Linked DNA regions of Oryctolagus cuniculus. The protein of the gene in region 3 interacts with the protein of the main gene of each other region in a pairwise test. Links are inferred from orthologs where the notes say so. Each region holds a gene or a part of one and is shown on either strand. Other genes may lie near its edges.

The links.
Region 1: the proteins of QRICH1 (region 3) and HSPB8 interact in binary tests that used the Homo sapiens proteins (3 or more experiments, as listed by UniProt). The two-hybrid records come from large-scale screens. The link is inferred for Oryctolagus cuniculus from reciprocal best matches to the Homo sapiens genes QRICH1 and HSPB8.
Region 2: the proteins of QRICH1 (region 3) and POGZ interact in binary tests that used the Homo sapiens proteins (3 or more experiments, as listed by UniProt). The two-hybrid records come from large-scale screens. The link is inferred for Oryctolagus cuniculus from reciprocal best matches to the Homo sapiens genes QRICH1 and POGZ.
Region 4: the proteins of QRICH1 (region 3) and NFIX interact in binary tests that used the Homo sapiens proteins (3 or more experiments, as listed by UniProt). The two-hybrid records come from large-scale screens. The link is inferred for Oryctolagus cuniculus from reciprocal best matches to the Homo sapiens genes QRICH1 and NFIX.

Annotation. Positions count from the first base shown.
Region 1 is NC_091452.1:15,305,271-15,309,360, reverse strand, and holds the start of HSPB8 (heat shock protein beta-8), read right to left. Parts: upstream 2,857-4,090; 5' UTR 802-2,856; coding exon 435-801; intron 1-434. UniProt on the Homo sapiens protein: Involved in the chaperone-assisted selective autophagy (CASA), a crucial process for protein quality control, particularly in mechanical strained cells and tissues such as muscle. Displays temperature-dependent chaperone activity.
Region 2 is NC_091438.1:46,681,008-46,684,570, forward strand, and holds part of POGZ (pogo transposable element with ZNF domain), read left to right. Parts: intron 1-1,757; coding exon 1,758-1,892; intron 1,893-1,988; coding exon 1,989-2,161; intron 2,162-2,335; coding exon 2,336-2,476; intron 2,477-2,902; coding exon 2,903-2,959; intron 2,960-3,117; coding exon 3,118-3,230; intron 3,231-3,484; coding exon 3,485-3,509; intron 3,510-3,563. UniProt on the Homo sapiens protein: Plays a role in mitotic cell cycle progression and is involved in kinetochore assembly and mitotic sister chromatid cohesion.
Region 3 is NC_091441.1:100,112,858-100,116,420, reverse strand, and holds part of QRICH1 (transcriptional regulator QRICH1), read right to left. Parts: intron 1,486-3,563; coding exon 1,308-1,485; intron 683-1,307; coding exon 528-682; intron 1-527. UniProt on the Homo sapiens protein: Transcriptional regulator that acts as a mediator of the integrated stress response (ISR) through transcriptional control of protein homeostasis under conditions of ER stress.
Region 4 is NC_091447.1:62,511,846-62,515,408, forward strand, and holds part of NFIX (nuclear factor 1 X-type), read left to right. Parts: intron 1-2,598; exon of another isoform or gene 2,599-2,683; coding exon of another isoform or gene 2,684-2,698; exon of another isoform or gene 2,699-2,874; coding exon 2,875-3,213; 3' UTR 3,214-3,563.

The DNA.
Region 1 (4,090 bases), on a different chromosome or scaffold from region 3:
GTCACCACGGAGCCCCTGTTTCCTGATCTGTGATGAAGGGGAGTCATGGAGTCTGTGCCAGTTATAGACGCAAGGCGACATCAACACGTTTGTGGCGAAATGGAGTTAAAGGACACGCTTACTCTGCGGAAAAAGCTTTGGAAATCCAGGCCTGGCTCTTTCATCCCAGGCGTGGGAGGCCGCCCGTGGTGTCACGGCCCAGCCCATCCCACGAGAGGACAGGGTGAGGGGCCCGTGTCTCCCTGCTCTGTCGGCCTAGCCTGGCCTCTGCATTCAACTGTCTCTGTTGAAACATCCAGGCGGCTTTCTGTGTCCCTGGCCTGGGCCCTGGCAGCGGGGGCAGGGTGAGCGTCCTCCTGGGAGCTGGGATAGGAGCACTTTCCATAAACACAGGCCCCGAGCGCAGCTTCCCCAAGCCCCCAGCCCCAACTCACCGGACACCTCCACGTAGCCGTCCTTGGTTTTCACCATCAGCTCCTCGGGCTTGAAGCTGTGCACATTGACACACACTTTCCAGGGTTCCCCGGGGAATGGTGGAGGGCTCCTGCCCTCGGCGGGCACCCCAAACCTGGCCGCAGCGTTGGGCCCCCGGGGCACTATGCCCGACCTCAGGGTCCCGGGCCACGGGGACGAGAGCCGAGGCAGCGCCCAGTCCGGCCACGAGGCGGTGAGGTCGTCGGCGAAGGGGTCCATGCCAAAGCCATCGTCCAGCAGGCGGGAGGACAGGGACGAGTCCCGGAAGGGGTCTCGGCGCAGGCGGCTCGGGTAGTGGCAGGAGAACGGCATCTGCCCGTCAGCCATGGCGGCTACTGAGCTCAGAGGGGAAACCGAGGCTCAGGGTGAAGGCACCACCTGCCCAAGGTCACGCAGCTGAGCTGGGCTTCCCGGCTTATCTTCAGCTTCAGGAAAATGCCAGTCTTCAGTCAGGGAGAAGCAGGACCATCCACGGCCACGGCGGCTCGTGCACACCAGGCTGGGGTCCCAGCCCCGAAAGGTGCTCCCTGGCTGAGCCCAGTGGAATTCCCCCTACCAGGGACCCGGAGATCAGCAAGCCACGGTCCTCCCGAAGCTGCCCAGGCGCGCAGCCAGAACCACCGAGCTCGAGAGTGGAGCCAGGGGCTTAATAAACTGGGGAACACACGCCTAGAAACTTCTCCTGGCTTCTGGGCTGGGAGCCTGCTATTTATTCGCTGCTGGGGGTTGGGGGTGGAGCCGCAGGCGCCTCCTGTCACCGGAGTATTCGGAGGTGATGAAGCAGCCCCAGAGAATCCGCCTAGGGGACAGCTGGGCTCCGCACCGGCCCGGGGGAGGCTGGGGGAGGCTGGGAGGGGCCTCTCCGGATGTTCTCTCCTCCCAGGCGCGGCGCTCGGCTCCGCCCTCCCGCTGCCTCCCCCGCCCCGCCCCGGCAGGGCTCAGCCGCCTGGCTATTAATAACCCTCTGCCCTGCTGAGGGTTCAGGTCACCCTCTGGAAATACCTTCCCCGAGCCTGTGGCTGCAGGCGTCCCCGTCGGCACCTGCAGAAGGGGAGGAGAGAGGGAGGCCGGATAACCGGTGGGCTTGGAGGCGGATGGCTCTGGGTTGTCTTTGGAATAGAGTGGCAAAGGGAAAGAAAAACAAAACAAAGCTGTGTAAATCTCTACGTAGACTAGGATTCCAGCGGCACTCCAGTGGGGAGGACTTTATGGGGGGGGCGGCTCTGGCGGTAGGTGCAGGGGCCGCATGCTGTGCAGTGGAGGAGAAAGATTGCAGGGCCCCGGAAACACCGGAATCCCAGAGGGAGGATCAAGGAGAGGGCCAGGGGGTGGAACACTGCCGGGAGGAACTTCTAAGTCCAAGGGATTCTGGCTAAACCAACCGGACGAGAGATTCTGGCTTAGAGTCAGGCCAGGCTGGGATCAGATCCCACCTAGGGGGTGGGGTGGGGCTGGAGAAAGGGTTGGGTGTCAAGGGTGGGTCTTGTTGCTTAACTGACTTAGGCGGTTCTTTGCTGAAATCGGATTTTACGAAAAACTGCGCAGATGCACCCAAAAGAAGGCTCAGGAACGTGGCTACGGGTTGGCCAAGCCATGAGCCTGGCAATTGAAGTCTAAAGCATTAGCGTGCCCCTCGGCACCTGTGAGCCGGCTGCTTTCCCACCTGTAAAGTGGGCGCGAGAGCAGCCTGCTCCTGGATGTGTCCGAGGAGCGGCTGGGGCAGGTGATTCTCGCCCAGCGTTTAGGACACCCATCGGCACTTTCGTTCTTCCAGTTTTGTTACCAGTGACGCCAACGCTTGCTCTGTGCCGGCCCCCGTCCCAGGTACTTCGCAAATACTAACTCAATGGATTCTCCGCCCACATTTTGTAAGGCAAGGAAAGTGCCGCAGGCCGTGTTATCGAATGACAGTGTCCCTTAGGATTGCACAATTATTGCAAAGTTCTGTGCCCAGGCAGGACGTCTGCCCTGAGCCCAGGAAGAATTGCATTTTCCAGGCTTCTCCGCGGCTCCTGTGCGGCTGGAAGAACCAATTTACAAACCTTCCTTGGAGGCCGGCGCCGTGGCTCACTAGGCTAATCCTCTGCCTTGCGGCGCCGGCACACCAGGTTCTAGTCCCGGTCGAGGCGCCGGATTCTGTCCCAGTTGCCCCTCTTCCAAACCAGCTCTCTGCTGTGGCCAGGGAGTGCAGTGGAGGATGGCCCAAGTGCTTGGGCCCTGCACCCCATGGGAGACCAGGAGAAGCACCTGGCTCCTGGCTTCGGATCAGCGCGGTGCGCCGGCTGCAGCGGCCATTGGTGGGTGAACCAAAGGCAAAAGGAAGACCTTTCTTTCTGTCTCTCTCTCTCTCACTGTCCACTCTGTCAAAAAAAAAAAAAAAAAATCCTTGGGCTTAAAAACAACAACAAAACCCCCTGGGCTTAGGTTCCTCTTCCTCTTTGATCGGTCCCCAACAGGTGGCAGAGGTCTTTTCCTCTGCCTTCTTCGTGGGGTGGGGGTGTTCAGAAACTCAGTGAGTCACAGGTCGAGAAACGGTTGGATGTTAAGCGGTGTCTGCTTAGGCAGTTTGCTAAAAATAACAATCCATAGACCCATCACCGTGGTTTACTGCCTCCCTGGCCCCGCCGCTGAGGGGAGCGAGGTGTGGGGCGGGTCTGCGGAGTCTGCGTCAGACCCTCCCTCCTGCTTCCTTGTGGTCCATGCCCCCTGCAGACCCTTGCCTCTTACCCTTGGCTGTGGGGCTGCAGGACCTGGGCCAGTGGGACTTGGGTCGCCCTGACTCCCAGCTCTGTCGCTGAGCTGCCGGATCCTAATGGAGACCCCCAGCCTCCTCCCGCAACAAGAAGGGGAGGCAAGCCCCAGGCCGGCGGGCAGCGCTCCGAGTGACTGGGCCCCCACTTGATACGGGGTGAGCTCATCAGCCTAGCAGCTTCAGGCTGACGTCACTGCCTCGGCTCTCTCTGTAATTACAGCTGGGCAGGGCCAGCTGACTTTGAAGCCAGTTATGGGGAGAATTGGGAGTCATCAGCCCTACCAGGGACCTGGGCGAGACTGGGGTGCGGTTTCTGAGTGGGGGGGGTCTGGGTGGGAGTGGCTTGGCATAGAGCAAGGCTGGGAGTGGATTCGGGTGGGAGCAGTGGGAGTGTGAGTGTGTGTTCAGGGTCAGGGCTGTGTTTATGGAAGGGTGGGTCTTCTGGAAATACTGCTTCCCCTCCCCCTCCCTTCTGCAAGCCCCAATGGAAGCTTCCAGAAAGCCCCTCTGCCTAGAACAAGGCACAGCTGGAACGAGGAGAACAGATAAGACGGAAGCCTGGCCAGGGAGCGGGAAGGGAACCGGATGACCTAACCCCCCTCCCCATGTCGAGGCCGCAGGGAGGTGGGTGTTGTGGCACAGTGGGTTAAGCCACGGCCTGTGAAGCTGCTTAGCATCCCACGTGAGCACTGGTTGGAGTCCCAGCTTCTCCATTCCTTATTCAGCTCCTTGCCAATGCACCTGGGAAAGCAGTGGAAGATGGCCCAAGTGTTTGGGTCCCTGCACCCACATGGGAGACCCAGATGGAGCTCCCGCCCCGTGATCCTCCCCTGCTTCCCGGTGTCTGCTCCTGGGGCTCTTGTT
Region 2 (3,563 bases), on a different chromosome or scaffold from region 3:
AAGGAGTCACCGGGAGGCCAGTAAAAGGTTTTAAGCTCTTGAATTGATGCATTCAGATTGTCATACTGACAGTACTAAGGCAAATGGATTCAAGGGAATTAAGACCGGAGTTGCAAGACCAGCCAAAAACCTTTTCGGTAGTTTAGGTGAAAGGTGAATGTGGCTGTTAGCTTCTGAAATGAAGAAGAAAGAGTCCATGGGAAACATGATGAGAATATCCATGGTACTTACCATTCAGAGACGGGTTGGGAGAAGGTGGCAAAGGAGTGGTTGAGGATAGCACCTGAGGTTCTCTTCTGGGCACCTGGCTGTTGGCTGAGGTGGAAGACGCTGGGGAAAGCAAGCTTTGGGGGAAGGTGGTGAGGGTCAGTGTTCGGAGCTCTGGTTGATAATGGGTGATGCCTGGGAGAGAGTCATCTTCCAGAACAGATGCCTGAGAATCGGCCTGTAAATCCAGACGGCTTTACACTTCTTGTCAGGAGTAGGAGGAGCAGGCATCCTCAAGTCTGTCCAAAAGGGCAGCACCTTGGCCCTGGGAGGGCCCTGGGAAAGCTGGCGTCGGCGAGGCTGAGGAGAAAATGTTCTGGAGAGAAAGGTGTGGCAGGTGCCGAGCGGCGCAGACTGGCAGCAGGCCCTTAGTCAGCAGCGAGCCGCTTGTCGCTGTGGAAAGTCAGTTCCGCAGGACCGGTACGCAAGAGGTAAGGAAACAGACAGTTGACCTGAAGAAGTTTGTTTATGAAGGGAGGACTGAGGCCGGTGGGTCCAGGGGAAGCAGCAAGGGAGAATGTTTTGTTGTGTTTTAAGATGGAATAGATATGACCTTGTTTTAAAATGCTACAAGAATGGGGCCGCTAGAGGAGAGTGAAGGTGTATAGGAGAGGATACAAAGTGGAGAACCAGACAGGTGCACATGTGCTTAGTGGTCACACACATGCGCACATAGCCTTGCACACGCCACGTGTAAGCACTTCCGTAATGCTCACCCTCTCCTCTGCACAGATGTGACTGCTTGGTCATCTCCCACAAATGTATTTCCTAATAGGGACCTGGCAGCTGTCACTTGTGACTTAGCCTGAGGCTGTAGATCCTTGCTAACCTGGGAAGGAACATCATAGGCACGAGTCTTCTCTTTGAGGGACTTCAGTACCAGGCAGACAATCCTGAGAGTGGTCTCAGAAGAAGATACATCTGTGTGTATTGAGGTGTTGGGGGAGGGGGAGCTGGATCTCATTTGCATTTTAAAAAAAGAAAAACAGGTAGGTGGTGGTTGGATATGAATGCGTTCATTATGATTATGTGTGCAGACAGAATACTCAAACTTACAACAGGTTGTTTCTGTGGAAAGGGTCTGTGAGAGCTGCAGGCAAACTTACAACACGAAGTAGTTGTACAAGTATACAGAATAAAAAGTGATTTTTCTTTTTTTACCATGTACATTTATTGTTTTTATGTAAAACAAGATTAATGTCCAGGAACAGGTGGTACTGTCTGCATGAAAAGTGAAAGCAGGAATGGCAGTAAAGCCTAGGCCACCCATCCAGATTCTTAAACCAAGGCAAAAAGAGAGGGTTTGCGGACTAGTCAGCCTGGTCTTCCGTTCTTGGGTAAACCATGTGGTGGTTCTCTGTGGATCTGTCACGTTGGGTATTCATTATCAGCAGAAAGCTGGGAAGATGATTGGTTGGCATTGACCTGCCTTCTCCTAGAAGAAAATGCATTGGGAGCCTTTAAGGGATTCTGTCTTTTTCCCCCTTTAGAAGAGAAATGTTTATCACTGCAACAAATGCCGGCTGCAGTTTCTCTTTGCCAAGGACAAAATTGAACACAAGCTTCAGCACCATAAAACCTTCCGTAAACCCAAGCAGCTGGAAGGTTTGAAGCCAGGCACCAAGGTACTGCTTGCCAGGGTTTCTTAGGCAGACCGGGAGTTTCGGTGTTGTGCGGCTGGTTGTGGGTGGGATCTGATTGTTCCTTCCTTTGACACTCAGGTGACCATCCGGGCTTCCCGCGGGCAGCCACGAACCGTGCCTGTGTCCTCCAGCGATACGCCTCCCAGCACGCTGCAGGAGGCGACCCCACTGACCTCCTCCACGGACCCTCTGCCTGTCTTCCTTTATCCCCCTGTCCAGCGCAACATCCAGAAGAGAGCTGTTAGGAAAATGTCAGCGCCTTCTTCTCAGTGCTGGGCGGGTGGGGCCTGTGGGCATGCCTAGTGCTGGGAGCAGTGCGGTCATGTAGCCTGTCAGCAAGGTCTGCTTAATAAGCGACAACTTGGGGATCCCTGAGGGAATAATGAGAATTTTCTTTTCTTTTCTTTCTTTTTTTCTTTTTGCAGGAGCGTCATGGGCCGGCAGACTTGTCTGGAGTGCAGTTTTGAGATCCCAGATTTCCCCAATCATTTCCCTACTTACGTACACTGCTCTCTGTGTCGCTACAGCACCTGCTGCTCCCGAGCATACGCTAACCACATGATCAAGTAAGTTGGGATTAAGCCGGCGTTTCTCTTCGGGAGTTCAGATTCTATAGAACTGACTTCATTCCCTCTCCTCCTAGCCTGTTTTCCTCCTTCAACTTTTGTAGCTGTTTGTCCATCTCTCCTGGCATGGTGAGAGGTCGGGTCCCTCTGTGTGCACCAGGGACCAGCAGTGTTAGCTGGGAGCTTGTTGGGAACACAGTCTGAACCCGACCATAGGCCTGTCGAGTCTAAGAGTGTGCGTTTGACTAGATCCTTGGGTAATTCATGTGCAGACTGAAGTTGCAGAAGCATGGTACAAAGGAAAGCTGGCCTGGGGAGAGAGGGGCTGAGGAGGTGTTGTCTCTTGTGTAAGGCGTTGCCTCTGGCTGGTGATGTCAAGTCAGCCAGCGAACCCCATAACTCAGACCACTTCTTTATCTTCCTCAGCAATCATGTTCCACGGAAGAGCCCCAAATACTTGGCTTTGTTTAAAAATTCCATGAGGTAAGTAAAAACTTACCTGTATGCTTAATTTTTCAAGTTTTTACATTAAATCCCTTCATTATTTTGGTGCATGGCTACGTGACTTAATTAGAGAGGAGAAAGTTTCGCTTTGGACACGCCATTGTGTCTGTCTCACTGTGCTCTTGACTCTTCCTCAGTGGAATCAAGCTGGCCTGCACTGCTTGTACCTTTGTTACCTCCGTGGGAGATGCCATGGCCAAGCATTTGGTGTTCAACCCCTCTCACAGATCCAGCAGCATCCTGCCGCGGGGTGAGTCCGGGGCTGAGGTCAGTCAGGAGAGGGGAACAAGAGACAGGCCATCAGCAGCTGGGCGTCAGGCCCCGCTCCCGGCCTGTGGACGCGGTGCGCTGATGAGAAGCGGTCTCTAACCTCAGGTGTTTGACACGAGCCTGGGAAGGGTGGTCACTGGAGAGCATGTTGTGTGCGTTGGTGGCCCAGAGCACTCGTCTGTGGAGGGCTCCTCTCCTCACTGAGCTAACGTTTCCCTGTCTCCTTCTCCGTAGGACTCACTTGGCTCTCTCACTCAAGGTAACAAGCTCTCACTTCATGATTTCCCATTTGGCAGTGTGTTTACATTATTAC
Region 3 (3,563 bases):
AAGAAAAAAAAAAGCCAGGTACCTGGCAAAGCCCCCAGTTTCTGATTCAGTTATTCTGTTTAGGGGTCCAAGAATTTGTATTTAAAAAAAGGAAAAAATAAATAAATAAATAAATAAATGAGAACTACCTTTTATTTTTTTAAAGATTTATTTGTTTATTTATTTAATGGGGGGAGGTGTAGAGGGGGAAGAAGAAAGAGGGGCAAAGAGGAGGAGGGGAAAAAGAGGGAGAGGGAGAGCCAGGGCTGGGCCAGGCCAAAGCCAGGAACGCAATCTGGGCCTCCCAAGTGGGTGGCAGGGATTCAAGCACTTGGGCCATCATCTGCTGTTTTCCCAGGTACATGAACAGGAAGCTAAGCTAGAAGCAGAAGAGCGAGGATGTGAACCAGGCGTTGCACAATGGGATACAGGCATCCAAGCAGAGGTGTACCCTGCTGTGCCACAATACCTGCACCAGAGAACTTGCTCATTTTAACACCGAATGGGAACACAGTTCCAACCTGTTTCTGTGAAGATCAGTTTCCTACCTTCTGAATACACAGGAAAATATAGTACAGCACATCTGGGTCATAGGGTTCACCTTCTCCGTTTCTAGCTTCCCGGGTCATTAAACATAGCCCGTAATTCAATTCAGCCACAGCAGAGGAGATGAGATCTTCCTGAAACCGCAGCAACTGGCGCCCTGTAACATAAGTCCCAGAGGTGAACAGGAGGCCTGACAATAATGATCTTTTTGCTAGTTGCTCACATTCCTGAAGAAAGGGCTTAGAACAGATATTGCTCATTATGGTACTGGGACAGAAAAGATCACCAGCATCTGAGATGAGAACGAGCCTACCAAGGCAGTAATCACATATGCTCTATTACACCAAGGGTTTCCTTCCCACAATCCTCACCTCCACTTATCCCAAAAGCTATTATCAGGACCAAGAAACAAAAGCAGGACAAAACAGAATCTATCCGCTGTGATGTGTGCAAGGATATGAACTTAATGACAAAAAAAGATGGGTTTTGAGACTACTCACTGGTTCCTTTTCACTCCAAAAAGACACTCTGTCCTGGCATGGTAGGCTAACTTCAGAAAATCACAAGCACAAAAATGCCTGGCCTGGGGCACACTCGCAAATCCTGCTTGTCTGGCAGGGTCAGGCCTGCTTGTTGCTACTGTATAAATTCAGCACTTTTTCAGATAGTTCTCGAGTCCCTACAGCAAGAGGATACCACTTTCCTACTGTTCTGTCCTCATGTGACTTTAATAGCACCATTATTTTACACACAGCTCACCCCCCTCTCTCCCAAAAACTCACTCCCGATAGGTGCCAATCTGTTCTGAGCATCCTTCTCCAGCTCAGCATTCTTGGTCTGGGCCCAGTTTTTCCATACTTCAAGCCCTTCTTCTGGCTTCAAAGAATTTGGAAGTAGAAGTTCAGGGGAAGGCTGTGGCTGTGACTGTGGTTCAACTTCTGCAACCTGCACAGTTTGAGCCTATGAAGAGAAACCATCAAAACACGTCAACATTGTTTTACAGTAGTCCTTCTACAAAGAAAAAATGTTATTTATTGTTCATGTAATTAAAAACAAAGGAACATAAAACCTCTCTTCTTGCTGTCTTATTGCAACCCCAGGACAGCAAAAGCAGCACTACAACTGGGCTAGTATGACGTAGCTCAGCACTCACTGCACTTTTGAGAGGCAAAGAAAGAAGCAAAGACGGAGATCACACATCCACTGTGTATTTGCCAAATGCAGGCAATGGCCAAGACAGGGAGACAGGAATTCAATCTAGGTCTCCCATGTAGATGGCAGAACCCAATTACCTGAGTTATCACTGCTGCCTCTCAGGGTCTGCATTTGCAGAAGCCCACAGTCTGGCAACATAGCTGGGAATGGAACTCAGGAACTCCAATATGGAATGACAGCATCATAACTAGCGGGCTAAACAACCAAACCAACTACACATTTAAATCTCTTATTTAAAAACAGCAATATTTAAGTATAAACCAGAATCTCTCTCTAGGGGGAACCTAGTATTTAGTCTTTTTAAAACTCCCTAAGTAAAATGGTAAATTTAATGTTTAGTCTCCACTGCTTCTCAAAGCAGTGCATTTCAAATTTAATGTGTACACAAATCACTTGGATATGTTCCTGAAAAAATGCTGAGATTGAAAGGGTCTAAGGTGGGGTTGGCACTGTAGAGGAGACGCTAAAGCTGCCACTTGCAGTGTCATATGGGTGCCACATCTCATATGGGCGCCAATTCAAGTCCCAGCTGCTCCACTTCTGATCCAGCTCTCTGCTATGGCCTGGGAAAGCGCAGAATATGGCCCAAATCCTTGGACCCCTGCACTGGCGTGGCAGACCTGGAAGAAGCTGCAGGCTCCTGGCTCCTGATCAGCCCAACTCTGGCCACTGCTGCCATCTGGGGAGTAAACCAGCGGATGGAGGACCTCTTTCCTTCTCACTGCTTCTGCCTGTCTGTAACTCTGCCTTTCAAATAAATAAGTAAATATTGGGAAAAAAAAAAAAGTGAAGGGTTTTGGGGCCACAGCTCTGGTTTCCTTAAAAAAAGGGAGGTCTAAGGTGGGATCTGAGATCCTGTGTTTGTACCAGACTCACCTGATAAAGTCTGTGGACTACAGACTTTATCACAGGTCAAGAGCAGTGATTTTTAAATCTGGTTGCACTTTAAAATAATCTGGACTGGAGCCAGCGCTGTGGCATACCGGGTAAAGCCACAGCCTGCAGTGCCAGCATCCCATATAAGTGACAGCTAATTCACTTCTGATCCAGCTCTCTGCTATAGCCTGGGAAAGCAGTGGAAGATGGCCCAAGTCCTTGGGCCCTGAACCCATATGGGAGACACGGAAGAAGCTCCTGGCTCCGGATAGGCGCAGCTCGGGTTGTTGTGGCCAACTGCAGTGAACCAGTGGATGGAAGACCTCTCACCTCTCTCTCTCTGTGTAACTCTTTCAAATAAATAAATAAATCTTTAAAAATAAAATAAAATAATCTGGACTGTATTTAAGAAATACTAATCTCTGAGCTTTATTCCCAGAGACTGTAATTTAATTGGCTTAAGGAAATTAGTATTCAAAAAGCTTCCCAGATGATTTTTTTTTAAGCTTTATTTATTTGGAAGGCAGAGTTAGAGAGAGGCAGAGAAAGAGACAAAAGAGAGAAGTCTGAAGGCTAAGCCATGTAGACAAGGACAGATAATGTCCATGATCCTCAATCCTAATTCCCAAAGGGCTAGACAGACACCAAGTACAGAATCTTGGGTCTCACACACCTATCCTACATTCTCTGAAAATCCCTTGAGCAATCCCCGACGCCAAGACCTATACTTCCTTCACCCAAAGGGCTGAAGAATGCCAAAATTCATTCAAATGAAGGCACAGAGATGATCCACAAATTTGTATGCCAACAAATAAAAATAAAAACAAACTTATTAGCTTTAATAATATACGTTATTAAAGACATAAAAAGCAATACAGTGTTTCTGTTATTAAGTATCAACACCTAAGAAAATATTCATATGTGGGGCCGATGCTGTGGCACAGCGG
Region 4 (3,563 bases), on a different chromosome or scaffold from region 3:
TCTGTGCCAGGGAGGCAGAGAGCTCTGCTGGCAGTGGGCGGGAGGGGGTACCAGAGGAGGGGACAGCAGGCGGCCGCCCCTCCTGGCTCTGGGCTGGCACCGGCAGCGGGCTCCACTGCTCCCTCCCTTCCTCCCTCCCTCCCTCCCTCCCTTCCTCCCTCCGGGGCCTCCACGGCTGCTGGGGCCTGAGGCTCTCTGGCTGCAGAGTCTTCCCCGTTCACCTCCTTCTCTCCCGCCCCCCCCCACTCACTTTTTACTTGGATGTTTTGGGGCCAAGTCAGAGTTTGAGGCAAGTTGGGGAAACAGCTTCTCACCTCCACTGTGTCCCTCCCCACCCCCCAGTCTAGGGCAGGGGGCCCAGGTGGGCAAGAGGAGTGCAGGCCCAGGTCCAGGTCCCCAAAGCAGGCAGGTGTGTCTGGGGCCCGGGGCTGGGGGGAGCCCTCAGGCCTGGGGGGGCAGGCGGACGCGGTGCGGGCACAGGGCTACAGTCGGGGGGTGGTTTCCACAGTAACCAGTGACTTTAGCTGATCTCTCCAGCGCCAGATGGAGAGAGAACAATAGAATGAGGGAAGAAAAGAGAATTTTAGCAATTTTGTCTTTCCCTGGGTAGCGCTTTTTTACTTAGTTTTAATCAGGAGGCGGGGAGGAAGGGGTGAGCAAAAAAAAAAAGGCAGCTCCAGGCTTGGCAGCAGATCCCATTCCCGGGACCCGAGGCGGGTGCCGGGGAGCCCCCTTGAAGCTGCCTTTGTCCCTGGGGTCTTCCTCTCCTGGGGGGGGCCAGCCCGCCCCCCCTCTACAAGCTGGCGCAGTCCCCACGCCCGGCAGCTCAGAGGACCCTGAAGGGGCAGGCTTGGGGCCCTGCCATGATTTGTCCTGGTCACAGCCAAAGCCATAGCCTCCCCCCACACCTGTGGGAGCCATGGTGCAAGGCTCCCCTGTAGTCTCCCCTAAGGTAGCAAGTCACAGAAAACCCCAAGGCCCGATTTTGGGGGAGGGCGGGGGCGCCTCACCCAGGCTGGCTCCTGGCCTGGCCATGCCCCCCAAGTAGATCCAGCCGCCCCGGCCCTTTCCCCCTGTTCTGTGAAGCCTTGGGCCTGGCTCTCCGGCTGCCCTTTGTCAGTGGCTGAGGTTGGGTCCCGTGGCAGGTGCTGGAGGGGACCGCACAAAGCGAGGGCAGGTCTGGCGGGTGGTCCTTGTCCCGTTGTGGGGTAGGCCATAGAGCTTTTTTCTGTGGCAGTTCCAGATCCCCCACCACCACCGCGGTCCAGAGTGGCGGCCACCTGCCACACCCGACCAAATTTAAGTCAAACTGACAACAGAAAAATGGAGTCCGCCCGTCACCCTACTCGGCTTCCAGGGTCTTGGAAGCCACTGGGGGACTAGCAGCAGCCCTGGACAGACAGACAGACAGACAGAGCGCGTGGCCACCATTGCAGCAAAGTCCCCAGGGATCCAGGCCCCTGCCCATTCTCCAACTCAGCACCCCCGCCACACAGCGGGGCCAGAGTGGGGCAGGTCCCGCCTGCAGACATAAACTGATGGACAGTGTTTTTAAGATGGGAAATTTTCCGGTTTCTCAGGACACTGTGTGGCTGTAGCCACCTCAGGCCCCACCCCAGCGCCAACAGCCCTGGTGGCAGCCCTGGGTCGCCCCCAGGCACAGCCTCCGGCCTCGGTTAGCAGCTGTGGATTCCTCACTGTCAGCTTGAGCTTGAGTTCTGCTTCTGTCCTGGGAGGGCTGTGTGGCCTCTGGCAGGTCACCCACCCTCTCAGAGCCTGGTTTCTGTGTGGCCTGGGGGCAAGGGAGGAATGAGTCAGTACCTGCGGCATGCTATATGGAAGTCAGCCTCCAACTCAGGGCCAGGGAGAGGTCTCCATTGCGTCCTCAGGGGCAGCGCTAGGTGCACCTGCTTGGAGAAGCCACCCCCCCACACACCCTTTGGCCACAAGGTGGGGCAGGAGCCAAACAGCCCAGCCCCTCTCCCTCTGCCCTGGGTATGCGCTCCCAGACAAAGCCCTGTCTGTGGGAAGGTGGTGCCCCCTGCTGGCGTTCTGGGAGAAGACAGAGACACACACCCCGGGGAACCTGCGGTTCTTCCCCGGCGTCTGGTGCGCCTAGGGTAGATTGCAGGAGGTGGGCTCCGGCCCCTCCCCCAAGCCTGGCGCTGCTAGGGACTGAAGCCATGTGGTTGCCCCCTCCACCTCCCCATCCTCCCCCCCCCCGTCTTTCAGCCTGTGGGACTTTGGCGGGGTGCACAGACGGGAATTTCTGCCTTTAATCCAAAGAGACAGAAAGAAAACGTAGCAAGAAGCTAGGCCAGCCCCCCCCCACCCCGCCACTCCCTAAACGCTTCTGGGTACAAAGGCCCCAGCCTAGCATTCTCCCCACCCTCCAGGACCCGCACAAAAACCCAAACAGTCGGAGACACGGCCAGGGCCCAGGGCTGTGCCAGCGACAGCCACGGGGGTCCCACCCGCTGGGCACAGTGCCCACGGGAAGGCCAGCTGGACCCTAACACGGGGAGGGTGGGCAGGGTCGGGAGAATTCCCATAGGAGGGGGGTGCGCTTCCTCCTCCTGGAGCGCCCTGGACCTTGAGGGGGCCGGCGGGAGTGGGTGGAGCCTGCCTGGGCTGTTCTCAATATTGCCTTTTTTTTTTCCCCTTCCTTTTGATCTCGTTGTAGTCCTGGTTCCTCTGATAAGATCGATTTAAAAAAAAAAAAAGAAACAACAAAATGAAGAGGTTCCTCAAAAGGGGGGGAGAAGAAATTTTGAGACATGGAAAAAAAAAATCCCCCACAGCCCAGCCCAGCCCAGCCCCACCGAAAAGCAAAAATTAAAGAGTCGTCAGCCACTCAGCCCTTCTCTCCTCCAGCCCGGGGACGCCCGCGGGCCCCAGAAGCAGCCCCAGTCCTCGGAGAGCCCTCGGAAGGATCTCGGCGGAGCTGTGCACCAACAGCCGAGCAGAGAGAAACACGCGAACGGGACTCTGCCCGCAGCGGACAGGAAGCGAGGATGCGGCGGCACTGCCTCCCCGCCCCCGCCCCGGCCCTCCGGGGACGGAGCCCAATCCCCCAGCCCCAACAAAGCAACCAGCACACAGTTCTGCAGGGGCCCGGCCCCCGCCCCCGCCCTTCCTAGGGGGACCCCTCCCCAGCACACGCCCTCTGCTCGGCCGGAGCTCCCCCAAGGAGTCCGGAGGACCAGCTCCTAAGGATGATGGGGTGTAGACCCGTGGGCTCGCCCCCCGACCCCAACTCCCCAGACTCCGCCCCTCCAACCCCACCCCTTTCCCGGCCTGGGCTCCGGCCCTTTCTTGACACCAGGTGCTGATCCAGGCTGGGAGGCGCCCGGGTGGGCAAGGGCGCCCCCTGGAGCTGGCTATATGAGCCCAGAGGCGAGGGGTGGTCCTGCCACCCCGCTCTGAGCCCAAGGGCGGTTCCCGGGGCTCTCCGTAGAGTCCATGGGAGAAAGAATGTTCTCCACGGCCCGGCCCAGCCTGGGACAGCCCCCCCCCCCCACCTCCGCTGCCACGAGCGAGGAGGGGGAGTCGGGCCCCGGGTC